3 linked regions of the Arabidopsis thaliana genome follow. The protein of the gene in region 2 interacts with the protein of the main gene of each other region in a pairwise test. Each region holds a gene or a part of one and is shown on either strand. Other genes may lie near its edges.

The links. The genes of interacting proteins can lie anywhere in the genome.
Region 1: the proteins of AT3G19070 (region 2) and SEP1 interact in a two-hybrid assay, tested with the Arabidopsis thaliana proteins (one large-scale study listed by BioGRID).
Region 3: the proteins of AT3G19070 (region 2) and TAC1 interact in a two-hybrid assay, tested with the Arabidopsis thaliana proteins (one large-scale study listed by BioGRID).

The regions. Positions count from the first base shown.
Region 1 is NC_003076.8:5,150,533-5,156,376, forward strand, and holds SEP1 (K-box region and MADS-box transcription factor family protein), read right to left. Parts: upstream 3,722-5,844; 5' UTR 3,236-3,721; coding exon 3,051-3,235; intron 2,200-3,050; coding exon 2,118-2,199; intron 2,028-2,117; coding exon 1,966-2,027; intron 1,877-1,965; coding exon 1,777-1,876; intron 1,687-1,776; coding exon 1,603-1,686; intron 1,466-1,602; coding exon 1,317-1,465; intron 1,189-1,316; coding exon 1,062-1,188; 3' UTR 802-1,061; downstream 1-801. Other genes in the region: AT5G15790 (RING/U-box superfamily protein), read left to right, coding at 10-239. UniProt on the Arabidopsis thaliana protein: Probable transcription factor. Functions with SEPALLATA2/AGL4 and SEPALLATA3/AGL9 to ensure proper development of petals, stamens and carpels, and to prevent the indeterminate growth of the flower meristem.
Region 2 is NC_003074.8:6,591,950-6,596,084, reverse strand, and holds AT3G19070 (Homeodomain-like superfamily protein), read right to left. Parts: upstream 2,313-4,135; coding exon 2,144-2,312; intron 2,064-2,143; coding exon 1,320-2,063; intron 1,236-1,319; coding exon 1,108-1,235; downstream 1-1,107. Other genes in the region: AT3G19080 (SWIB complex BAF60b domain-containing protein), read right to left, coding at 1-3; AT3G19055 (uncharacterized protein), read right to left, coding at 3,143-3,194, 3,311-3,383, 3,465-3,589, 3,678-3,769.
Region 3 is NC_003074.8:2,853,898-2,857,698, reverse strand, and holds TAC1 (telomerase activator1), read right to left. Parts: upstream 1,663-3,801; 5' UTR 1,559-1,662; coding exon 1,040-1,558; 3' UTR 802-1,039; downstream 1-801. UniProt on the Arabidopsis thaliana protein: Activation factor which mediates telomerase activity and potentiates responses to auxin through the regulation of BT2. Binds in vitro to the DNA sequence 5'-GACAGTGTTAC-3' of the BT2 promoter.

The sequences.
Region 1 (5,844 bases), on a different chromosome or scaffold from region 2:
GTTTTGTAGAATACATATCAGAGAACCCGAAGATTGTTACAAAGTGTTCTCACCATTTCCACCTCAGTTGCATTTATGAATGGATGGAGAGAAGTGAAAACTGCCCTGTTTGTGGAAAGGTAAACACTTTTCATGTTCTTCCAAGCCAGTTTTCGGCTTCTCATTTACTAGTGTTTCAGAGTCAGACTCAGACACCATCACGCGTAAATAGACGAGTGATCCAGAGATCAATAGAATGAAAGATGTACAACAACCCTAGAAGCACATGCGTAAAATCTTTACTTGTCTTGTCTATGACAAATATGGCTAATCATTCTTCCTGAAACTCAGAACATTTGAATTATTTCTCATTCATGTTGACTAAAGAATATTTTTTTCTCTGCTGTGAATTCGTCTCATTTGCAGGTGATGGAGTTCCACGAAACACCGTAACTTGTTGCCATTGATCCTGTCTTGTACTGCCTAGACCGGACCTGGGGAGATTGACAAGGCAGCAGAGAGATGTGAATATATTTTTTAACAATATATGATATTGTATATGATGGGGAAATGAGGAAACGTCTCTCTGCACGTTTGGCTTATGGAGTTCTGAGGAAACCCTCTTGAGAGAAAACAACAGCAGCAGCAGAACAGATGCACACAGGAATCTGACATGTTTCTTAGGATTTGCCTTTGGCGCAGTGTTTTGTTCAAGGCATGAAACTTTTTACATCATTTTGTATGATTACTTTTAACCTTTTATGAATTTATGAATATATATGTGATGCTTGTATTTTGGCATATAGTTTACATTGGGTATTTGGGTCAAGGAGAGATCACATTGTAACCCAAATGTTTCTCATTACATGATAATAAACCAGTGTCATGGTTCAGTGTTAAAACAAGTTCCACACATTTGAATTCTTAATATAAGCAAGGATTCCCAAAAGATACAAATGTCTTGAAGATCCTCAGGACCATTATATATAGCCACTTATGTCTACAAATCCAAAGTCTTGTGTCTATACTTTTATATATATAAAAGATCTTTTGTTGGTGAGCTTTAACACAGCACATGACTCTCAGAGCATCCACCCCGGGATGTAACCGTTTCCCTGCTGCGCCTGAGCTTGGGTTGTCGCAGTTATTTGCTCTGAGCATACCGGATTATCATACCTGTCATCATCATCATCATCACCAAAACAGCAACTTAAAAGGTTCACACACATTGATGATCCTCTTTACACCAAGTAACTAAAGAACCTTATATAAGTACAATCTTAGTAGTGAAGTACACAAGCTGATTTGCAGATGATTGTTTAAGGCAAAGGATTTACCCCATTTGCAGAGTTGGATTGCATTCAAGAGGCTGGTATAGTCCCTGAGACTGAGCTTGATGATGCGCGTAGGTAACATTCTGTTCACCACCTTCCCATCCTCCTCCTCCTCCCATATGATGACTTCTCACACCAATCATATCATCCAGCTAAACATTTACATTTCACCAAAAGACTATAATCAGAAACAAGAAAACTAGAGATGTTTCCAAAAATGTTTAGAAACTTAAACTCTGTGAAAGAGATTGATCGCAAGGCACCAAATGCATTTATTCTGTAATTATACCTTCATTGCCAAAGCTCTATTGGTTTCAAGCAACATTTGCTCTTTATTTTGAAGATCCGAGAGCTGGTCAAGCATGTACTGTGTCTGCAAACAATCATCATACCACCATAGTAGTTATAATTAAACAACACAAATTAATCTCATTTGAATCATTGATTCCATGTATAAAGATACCTTGATGGACCGAACTTGCTTGAGAGAGCCGTCCAGTTGACGCTCAAGCTGCTCTAACTCCTTTGAATTCAAAGGTCCTAAATCCTCCCCAAGAAGATTTCTGCACCAACAAAAGCCACACACACCTACAAATATGAATCTACATGGATACAGAATTGAGTAAATATACGGAGGTAGACAGATATGTACCTCTGTTGACGTTGAAGGTTCTCATATCTACCCTTAAGCTTCAGATATTCTCTGTAGCTGTTCTGAAATATTTCACGAAAACAAACTTTTAAAAAAGATCTTTCTTGAAATGATATGATAGGAATCTAAAATAGTATTTGAATTAAGAACACCTCAAGTTCTTTGGCAGGTTTGTTGTTGACTTCAATGGATCCATAGCTGCATTTCTGGTACCGATCAAGTGTCTTGAGCATGCTGAAAATAACTCAAAAAGAGAGAATAAGAGTTTATTAAAAAGATCATACTTGACTTTGGAGATCTAAACCTATAAATCACCATAAAAAAAAAGCTCTTCAAGTTTTAAAGTATTCTTCCATCAAAATTGAAGATTGTTTCCATTATTTATCTGATTATATACGAGTTGATTTGGATTTGATTGTTTCAACTTTCAAACGTAAAGTTTCGTATTTATATTTACAAATATCAATAGTTCAATCCTATCATTTGCAAGCAATATCTTACGTTTTCGTTTGATTCACAAATTGTGATTTGAAAAAAGGAATTAATCGCTATATTTTCTTGAATGCATGTAAGCAAAACTATTTTAACATATAATTAAAAATCTATTAAACATTGTTTTTAAGAAAAAACAAACAATCAAAGCCTTCACAGATATACACGCGTTTGAAGTTTTAACCACCATAAAGTATGATGAACTAACAAATGGTTAATGCATGTAACCATATATTATCATTCTACGTTGGATACTTGTAATTTTCATAGAAATCTGTGAACAACTTTTAAGTTTCCAATCACACAGACATATATTAATTATATAAAACTTTTCAGATTGCATATCAGGATTTGGAATCTATTCGATTACAAAATTCACAGTTCTAAATCATTGACAACAAAAAAACCAGATCTTAAATTTCAAGAATTGGAAAAAAACCCTAGAAAATGAAATCAAGAAATCTAATTAACTCAACTTCGTAGAAATCAAGATCGTGTGATCTATATATAACAAGTCCTTGAGACAAAGATCTAAGCTCAGATCTAGCAAAAACTCAATCAAGAAACTGATAAAGAGTGAGAGAGTTGTTTACTTTGAGGAGCTGCAAAACTCATAGAGCTTTCCACGGTTGGAGAAGATGATGAGAGCAACTTCAGCATCACAGAGAACAGACAATTCATAAGCTTTCTTCAACAAACCGTTCCTACGCTTTGCAAACGTTACTTGTCTGTTGATTTTGTTCTCTATCCTCTTCAGCTCTACTCTTCCTCTTCCCATTTCTTTTTGTTACCTTAATTTCCACTTTTTATGTCTATACACAAATATGGGTATGTAATGTTTATCTATATACAGACACACAAAAACATAAGTTGGGTATCTCTTTTTCAGAGGAAAGATCTGATCTTTTTGAGTTTTTATGGTCTGGAGAATTGATGGTATTTGGAAAAAAGAAATTAACCCTAATTTCAAGAACAAAAGGTACTAGCTTAAGGAAGAAGAAGAGGAAACTTCTGTTTGTCTGATTTTTTATTTATAGGGTTATTGATTCTTTTTCCTCTCTTTAATTGTGTTTGGAAGTGTGTGGAGGTTGTGAAATCTTAATGAAAATTTTGTTTTGAATCAATGGAATCTATTGAGAGCAAAAGATAAGAAATGTGTGAGGGTGAGGTTAGGGTTTGGTGTGTTTTCTCATTTCTAGCCCATCTCTCTGCTTCTTTATTCTTCTTTACTTTCATTCCCACGCTCTCTTTAAGCACGTGTGATACAGTCACCAAATAATTGGCTCTTGTGATACAATTACCAATTAAACTTGTATATATATGTTTATATGTTATTTAAAGGATAAATTTTTATTTCGTATTACTTACTTTAGAGTTTTCATTATAGGGTTATTATTTAATTTGAACATCTATGTGTTTCTCCTCAGGTAGAATTCATGTTTGTGTATATATGGGTGTCTACTATTTATGGAATATTTATACAAAACATCTAAACATATCATTGCTTGAAAATTCTATGTTTATATCATAATAGCAAATTGTTTATGTTTAGTTATATATAACACAACAATAGTACTCTAAGAAAAACAGCATCATGCACGTTTGATGGTTGACTAGTAACTAGACACACGAGGCACAAAGGTTATCAGTTGATTAACATGTGTATGTATATACGGTCTTTCACTTATCACATTACAAACTTGAAAGTAAAATTTGTTTAGCGATATTAAGAAAGTTTATATATAGAGACCTCGTACTAGCTGGAAATGTATATCTAAAATGAAAGTACACTCCCTCTTACATACAGTTTAATATATTTTCAACATAAAACATATGTACATAGTACTAGCTTATTTTTTAACCAAAACTTTTGGGTTTGATAGTTTAACAACTCGGTCAAGAATCTCATATTTTCTTACTTCAAATAATTGCCAATATATTCTAGTTCTTTTTGTTTTTAAATTATACCTGGTAATTTTCTAACGAGAGTCTCATAATTGCAAGTTGTAGTAGTCTTGCAGCTGGATATGAAGCGCGTGAATTAAAACTAAATAATACTTACAATAAATGAAAGCAACGTATCATATCATTTTCTAGTTGTTTTCAGAAGCCGCAGAAAAGCATCTTCTACCTTAAAATGGGTTTCCATGTGTCGATGCCTTATTGGATCATACTTTCTTACTTTTTAATTCAGTTTAAAATAAATTGAAAAATGAGATAAACATTTAAGTGGTTCAATTATCATAAAAAACACTAAAACTGATAAAATAGCCACATAATATAGGTCATATCAAATAAATGAGAAATAATATTTGTATGCCTAAATCAAGTTATCCATGTTTGAAGGTGTTTGCAGTGAGGTATATATGTTTTTGTCTAATAAAGATTACAGTTATGATTATGTAACATAAATTAGATAATATTTACAGCTCGCGATACACTACAATTGAAACGTGGTTAATTAGTGAAACTGAAATTTGAAGAAGAGGATGAAATATGAATGATATTCGTTAAAATGATCTCTTAGATTGTATAGTCATTGTCCCCCATTGCCAAAAGATCAACCACTTACATAAAGTAAAACGCATCTTTAGTTAAAAGCTAACCAAAAGAGTGGAACATATTTATTTTTGGATTGCATTTGCGAATTTCATCAATATATGGTTTTGTTCAATTGGGAAATTTAAATAACTCCACTAAAATGTACAAAGTAATTTTTTTTCGACAAAGAATCTATGAAGCTAAAAAATCTACCCATAAGTCACTTTTAGCAGAAATACCACCATATAGACAAGGGATTATTGTTGATTTTGCCATTTTTTATAGAGATCTTTTGAAATTGCCATTTTTACTAAAATCTTACGGATAAGCCATTTTCTAAGATTTAAAAATATATGGATTTCGGACTTTTTTTGGTAAAAATACGTAGTTTACACAAAATACTAAACCCTAAGAACAACCACAACCGAGTAAACCCAAACATAATGAATAAAACGTATATTCATTCACGTAACCTGAAAAATGGCAAAATTCACAAACTATTAAAAAAAGGGCAAAATCCACAAATGCCATCCCAAAAAATGGCATTTTCATAATTGATTCTATAGACAATTATTTTTCTGCCTATTAACTTTATTTGTTTTGATAAAGATAACCAACCTACTATCAGTTATGGTTGATTTTTTTTATTCATATTAAAAAAAACAAGAAAACGAAGTAACTTTATTTAAGTTAAACAAAAATTCAAGAAAAATGTGTGTTTGCACCAATTATGGTACATCAACTGCCAAAAACCCACCTATAGTTGCTCACTGAAAGAAAGGTCCAGCAGAGCATTTGGTTACTAGATGAATTTCTCCGGTTTAATGACGATAAAACCCGGTTAAA
Region 2 (4,135 bases):
CATTTTTTCCGTTACTGAAGAAAACAAAAATACGAAGCGGCTGATGAAAGCCAAAAACGATTCTTTGAGGTTGAAAATGAGAGAGGGCATTTATGGAATTTACAAATCGTAACCTCGTCGTTTTGCTACTTCAACCTTTTTCCTTAATTATTACTACGCCTTAGATGTGTTCGATTACGACCATAGTTAGAAACTTATGTAATTATGATTACTTCAACCTTTTTCCTCGAATTAGGTGTGCACCAAAAAAATAAAAAATGCCTAGGTGTTCCATTACAAGTTACGACCATAGTTAGAATATATTTATGATAAAAATTAACACCTTTATTGCATTTTTGGTTATCATTTGCTTGGAATAAAAAAAAGAGTTGGATATTTCTCTTCTAGAAGTAATAGTTTCATTTTAGACCAAAAAAAAAAAAGAACTAGAAGTTTCATCACCCAAATATTTATTTAAAGATTGTAGTTTTGAGCAACTCATAATAATCTTTCTTCCCTGAGGTCATATCTGCCTAAGAAGATTAGACCACAATATGAACAAACATGAAAAACTTTTGATTCAACGAATCTAAATGTCAAGACATACCCTTATGGGGGGAGAGAGGCTGAGACTTATCTGTCAAAATTAAGAAAAGAAGGAGAAGCTAAACAAATTTTTCTACAGCCTGCACCAGCAATGGTGGTCTCTCTTAAGGTCCCTTACAATATAAAAAAAAAAAAAATAATTAAAATGGAAGGGACACAGGAGAGAAGGGCTCCAAAAACCCTTATATAAGGGACCTGAAGATTAAATGTACATGTGTAGGTTTTTTAGTTGTCAAACTATGTTAAAAAATTAAAATATTATTATTTTTTGGTTTTTTAGGGACTGTCATCATCCCACCCATTGGGGTTGCTCTAATAGATTGTGATAAATGATCACTCATGCGTACAGTAAGAATGTTATTATGGTTAACTTTTTTTTTTTTAATAACTCCAACATTAACATAAATTCTATTATGATATAGTAATTGTTTGTAATATGCAAGATTAACAACAAAAGAAAAAGAAACGTTCTATACTATCACTCTTTCTATTTAATCCTATCTCTCATCTTCAATATTTTCTTCACTCCAAGGCTAATTTGTCTGCAATAGCCTTTTGACGATCCCGCAAGACTTGTAAGTGGCTACGGATCTGGTCACCAGTGAGACCCTCTTCAGAAATTAGTTCGTTTATGGCTTTGGGTGTTGCACCTGAAAAAAAAAAAAAAAATTAGGAAAATAGTTAGGAGTTGAAAGAATAAACAAAATAAATAAAAAAATTATAAAGTTGCATACTGAATAATCCCCCAAGTCTGACAACTGCGTCATCAAACACTAGTTGAAGCCTATTTGTCCACACCAAGTCTGGGTTTCGGATTGGGTTTGGGATTGGGTTAGGGTTAGGATTAGGGTTAGGGTTTGGGAATAGAGCAGGTAGGCCTGGAGAGATCTGTGGTATTGGGTTTATGAAATTTGGTATTGTTGGTTCTTGGGCCTGCGGACGGAGAAACGGGTTAACAAACGGTGACGGAGAGGAGGATAAAGGTGACGGAAAGATGTTACTAAGCCGTGCTCGCTTAGATGATGATGATTCGGGTGGCTGAATAGAGGATGATGGTGACGACGGAAAGAATTCCCTCAAAGATGGTCGATCAGACGAATCGGGAGGTCGAACAGAGTATGGCATTGACGACGGAAAGAACGAAGATGTTGCGAGAGTTGAAGATGAAGATGGCTGATGAGAGTATGACACTGACGACGTAAAGAATTCCCTCAAAGATGCGGGTGGTTGAAGAGAGGAGGATGACATCGACGGTGGTTGAAGAGACGGTGACGATGATGTTGCGAGAGTTGAAGATGACGGTGGTTGATGAGAGTATGACACTGATGACCGAAAGAAGTCTATCAACGGTGCGGGTGGTTGAAGAGAGGATGATGACGATGGTGCGAGAGTTGACGATGACGGTGGTTGAAGAGAGGAGGATGACATCGATGGTGGTGGAAGAAAGTTCTGACGGAGATCCATAAGTAGAGCAATTTCTGCGTTTCCAAGACCCAACAAGATTTGAGAATGAGAGAGGAACAACTTTAAATTACAAGGTGAAGGAGAAGAAATTAACCTGCTTCTCTCGCGGTACTCCGATCTTGAATTATCTTCGCCGCATCTTCATCTTCATCTTCTTTCGTCTCTTCATCCAACTTTTTTAAATGCTCATCTATCTTCACGATTTTCTGAGAATGTGATTCAATAGAACTTAGCTCTTCAAGAAACTCATCAAGATTAGTCATGGCTTGCAACTTAAGAAATTTGATTCATCACGTTCTATATATATATAGGAGGAATAATTTGCAGATGGAATCACAAATTTACCCTCTCTAGAGAGAGCAAAAATACCCATACTGTTGAGAATTACTAAAAACCCACATGTTATGATGTTAACGCAGATATCAATATAAATGTTTGCTCTAGCAATCCAAGGAAGTGAGCTTTATGAAAATCGAATTCAGGCGTACAGAGAACTGATTACTTTCTTGGAAATACATGTTTCCAATAATTATACATCATGCTGCATGCGTGTGATTTTTCTTATTTTCTCCATTACTTTGCTAACTCTAAAATGGTCTCAAGTTACTTTGCTCTCAACTTTTAAAGCTATCAACTCCAGTATAAAATAAATTAATAAATATTATACAACTTAAGGTTATGTAACATACCAAGCAATTAGGACGTACATTAATTGGTATATTTCTCCTGATTTCATATTTGTAGCCTAACTAATAAAACTGCAATTATTTTATATTAAAAACAGCGTACACGGTACATCAATGCAGTTTCTAGCTTCGTGCATGGTGAAAGTTGTTTTTGCGGCCGATCTGATTTTCATAAAAAAAAAAAAAAGGATTTTCCACTATGAATCGGTTGCTACAAGCCTACAACTTTTCTTCTTAATATATGAAGCATTTATAATAATAAAAATAGGTACATGCAGATCAGATGATAAGATGTCCCATATATATAGATAATACCCTAGCTAGGTCGGGTTGATGTTGAAGAAAAAACAAAACCCAATTAACCGCGTTTATTGCATGTAGCATGAAGTTTATGTGATCATCAGTTCTCATAGATCCTCGTCAGCCTTCCTCTTCCTCATCTCCCCGAGTAGAGTTTGCCTTAAACTATTAAAGTAAAAGTAATCATTAAACGGTTGATAATGATCATAATTAATCATCTAAGTCGTCAATATCATTAAAAATTTCTCTAAAAAGTCGTCAATTGTTAAACTTACTTTTCTAAAACCTTACGCGCCTCCGCTCTTTTTATGGAGCGAATCCTAGCCCTCTCTTCGACAATCGCCTTGGCTACACGAATATGAAACACATAAAGATAAAAAAGGAGAATAAAATAGAAAGAATGATCAAATAGATACTCTGAATAAATACCTATCTTTAGATAGGCCACCTCCTCCTTAAGTTGTGCAACATATTCATCAATTCTGGATATTATTTCCGGAAATGATTCGATTTTTGAGATTTCTTGCTCGAACTCATTACAATCCTTCCAGCTCCTGGGGATTGAAAGCAAAGGGAAGCTTGGGAGAGAAGAAAGGATTTTAAATCAGAGTGGAAAAAACACATTAAAAACCTAGAAATTACCTCTTCTTAAAGTATCCTGGACGAGGATGACGAATTAAGAATAAATGTGAACGGGCCTGTCGGATTTCAAATGTGTAATGCGAGTGCACCATCTTGAGAACGAGATCTGTCGTCTCTCTATTATAGTCTTCTTCTCTTTTGCAACAAAGTTTACTTTTGTCGTTGAATTTAATGATAGGGATAAGATCAATAATATCAGTGTTATTTAAAAATACAAAGATTGTATTTATTGGAGTACTAGGATCTTTAGTAAAATCTAAACAAACTATAATTTAGATTTCAATACTGAAATTCTAAACAGAGTTTATATATTTTAAAGAAGCATTTAATGTATATATTTGTTTCCTTCGATAATTCTTAAAAACATTTAGAGAAAACGAAAATTGAACGCCATAACTATTAGTGATGATCATGATCACTGCTGAACTCTACTAGAGACGATACACTACAATGTAAAA
Region 3 (3,801 bases), 3.7 Mb from region 2:
TGGAAATTATCCAATTTTCCACGGCATCTCAAATAAAACCAATCTGAATTTAGATCCAAAGCGGATCTCAAACAAGTTCTCGAACCAAACCGGAACGTGGTTAAGACGTAAAAGGTCATCATTGGTGGCGTCACCAAGTTGCAGCCTTGAACCATTTGCTCTTTTCATTTTAAATCCTAACATGTTATAGAGCATATAATTATAATTATCATGCGCAAATCGGCATGTATCAATTTAGTTATATTTATCATGTGCAATTGTGCATGTATCAGTTTACATACATTATATTATCATGCAGATTATGGGAATCTTAGCGGTTCAAACGTCTTAAAGTACTGTATAACTACATATAGTTTGACTATACATAACTACTTATTTATGGCTATGATCGTAAATTTTAGTATAAATGCAATATTCACTGTTAGAATACGATATTCAAATTCGTTTTCAGAATTCAGAGAACAAAAAGTAGATAAAGTGACCTTGGTTTATGTTGTTTTGGTCAAATTTATCGTTTATAAGTTTGCTAGCTAATGTTATACTATTTGCTAACATATAATTAAATGTTGAGTGCTAATCTCGAATATAAGAGTCATAATTGGCAAATGCTTACTCGAAAATCTGAGGACGACTACCAATATATAACTCAACTGTAACAATATTTCTCAGTGAACAAGTTTGAATAGTCTCTACCATGACCAGATCAATAATGTTGAGCTAAGTTAAGCTTATTAGTTATTCATTTTCCCTAAACAACTATAAAGCAAACACCAAATATATATAATTTCTATATATATGTTTGTTTGTTTGGACGTGTATGTCATTTACAAAAGTTGTTGGTGAAATTAACCCAAGCAAGGAAACAAATATCAATACAAGGTACAACAACGATAATGGTAGCAATAAGATACAAATGCATACCTTACAATACAATTTGAGCCACGAATCCATTTGTAATAGACGGATTAGAGAGTTTGGTGTTTCATAGGGATTTTCCCATTGATACAATGCAATCAATATATGATTCATCGTTCAGAGACTATGTTGTCTTCTTCTTTACGACGCTTTGGCCTAACCGAAGCTCGAGATCCAATACTTCAATATCACGATGATGACTCGAACTCGAACCATCTATGCTAGCCTCCGTGACCTTTCCATGATCATTAGTATCAAGCTTGCTTTCTTGAACCCAAAACTCTAATTTCTGTTTAGGACTTATATCGTTATCAACATATTGATCGTGATCATCACATGTCAAAGCTTCTCCTTGTTGTTGTTGTTGTTCATTAAGGTCTAGAGACACAACTTCGGATGCATCACTCTCGGCGACGACATCATCCTTATTATCTTCCATAAGCTTTTGTCTGAGTTTAGCCCTGTCTCTTCTGTGGATGTTCATATGCCCTCCTAGTGCTTGAGCATTCGAGAAGCCCCTTATGCAGAAACTGCATACGTAAGATCTTGACTGGTTCAGGGAATCATCAACGCCTTGATGACTGTTTTTTGATATGCTATCGGAACAATCATCTGCGTTTTTAGGGTTTTTGATGTTTTCCATATATAGAATATATAGATTTCTTCCGTAGAATAAAGGAGAAGATGATCAAAGATTGTGAAAATTCCTCATAAGAGAAAGAAAGAATAGAAGAGAAGAGATCAGTGTTTTCCATCAAGAAATATGAATTGGTCAACTTGAAATTATTTATTTGTTTATTTTGTTTTGGCAAATATAAATTAATCAACACTCTAATTTTATTATCAAAATCTACCACGGCACCAAGACAAAACAAGAAAAGTGAAAACAACTGTTTCTATGTCATTACATGAATAATCTATTCTGTTATAGTTATAAATTATTTCCACAACTAAATATAAAACCTATAAACAGTATAGCAACTACCAAAAAATGATCAATAAAAATCTAACAATTTTTTCCATTTTACGATTAAAATACTTTCGTTTCTACAATTTTCATCATTATTTTTTTTATTTTTTTTATCAAACTACAATTTTCATCATTAAATATATAAATAGATGAAGTTATCGGACATATGATTTGTGATATATTTACTTTACTATGTGCAATTCTTACAAGATCGATGTAAGTAGTTGTATATGGTCACCAAAATATACAACGCATATTCAAGAAATTAATATTATTTTATGCTAACCACTTACATATGAGACAATAACAAAGATCAGCAGCTTTGCACGAACAAAAAAAAAAAGACAAATTAAGATCAGCAGCCTTTCAAGATTCAACTTTAGGACTACACAAAAAAAATTCAATGCTTAAATATATTTGATCATTACAATTTATTTCAGTAAAATTTGATTATTTATTTGTTTTTTTTTTTACTCTCAATAATTAGGTTTAGAGATTTCTTAAGTTTTTTATACTGAAAAAAAAACAGATACGCAGTTGACAAAAAAGGGTACAACACAGCATTTTGGCGTTTTGTTTTTGTCTCTGCACAATTGGTAGTTTGATACACATCACTAGCTTTGTTTTTGTTATTAGCATTATTTTAACATATGCTTTTCCTGAAATTATCAACAATTATTCCAGTGTTGGACATCTATGAAAACTGAATAAATCTACAAAATCAATTGACTGACTCGTTTTCAAAGCAAGATCCATAGTACTTTTGAATTTGTATGTACATCATTATACTATATATATAACTTAATTAATCTATGTTTTCTTTTTATGAGTCACCTAACTGAAATTTAATAAACGCAGTTAATTAATTTAATTGAATAGCAGAAATCACAAGTCTAAACATATTAGTCAAAGGCAATGAGCGACCTTTGAGCAATAGATAAAAGACATAAAACTAGGTCGTCGTGATTTTTTTTTATTCACTAGACAAAAAGGTAAATATACAGCGTATTAGTTAGAGTTACCAGTTTAATTAAGTATGAATAAAACGGATATATCACTAATTCAAACATACACAAGCGTCGTTGCCATTGTTTCGAGCATTCCTGAAATGAGTCATCAATTGAACTTTTCTAAATTCAAATTTTTAACTAGTGTGTATGTTGACGAAAAAAAACTTTAATATAATTAGTAATATTATATGATAATAATTTTAAGTCAGTAGTGTCATATAATATTACCAATTCATCATCTATGAGACTGACTCTATATATGTGTGGTGATATTCAGTCTTAAATATCTTATTAATGATGTTTAAACTTAGAAGAAATGGAGGATCAAAACCAACCTCTAGATGATGAGTAATCGTGTCTCCGAGTACGTGTATTGTAAGTAAGAACGAGGTAATCCGCATCCCGAGGACTAAAAGGTATACTAATACACATACGTATATGCGTATACAAATTTCCTGCGTAAATTAAGCTTTAAACCTCAGGATGCAGATTACCCGGTCCTCACCAATACTCATCATCGTCACCCCCCATAATGCGCGCAAGTTCTTGCGTGAGCATAGTTTATGTATCGTTCTTCTTCTAGTTTTTTTTGTTTGGTGAGAAGTCAGTAGGGAAATGTGAGAATTTATAACCCTCGTGAGGCTAAATAGTATTGAGAAGATGCTTATTCGAAAGGTTTAATGCTATGAGAACATATGCTCTAGTGGAAAACAAAATTTTGTTGTTCATGTTCTATCATGTCCATTCGTATGTCTTAGCCTTCTTTGTTTGATATGATTGTACTGGATAGATCTTTAGAGCTATAACTATGCGAATGATTGATGGGATGTCGAATCTGTACTGATAAATTTATGGTATTCTTTAAGAATATAGACATTCATGAATTTCTAAGATTAAAACGTAATG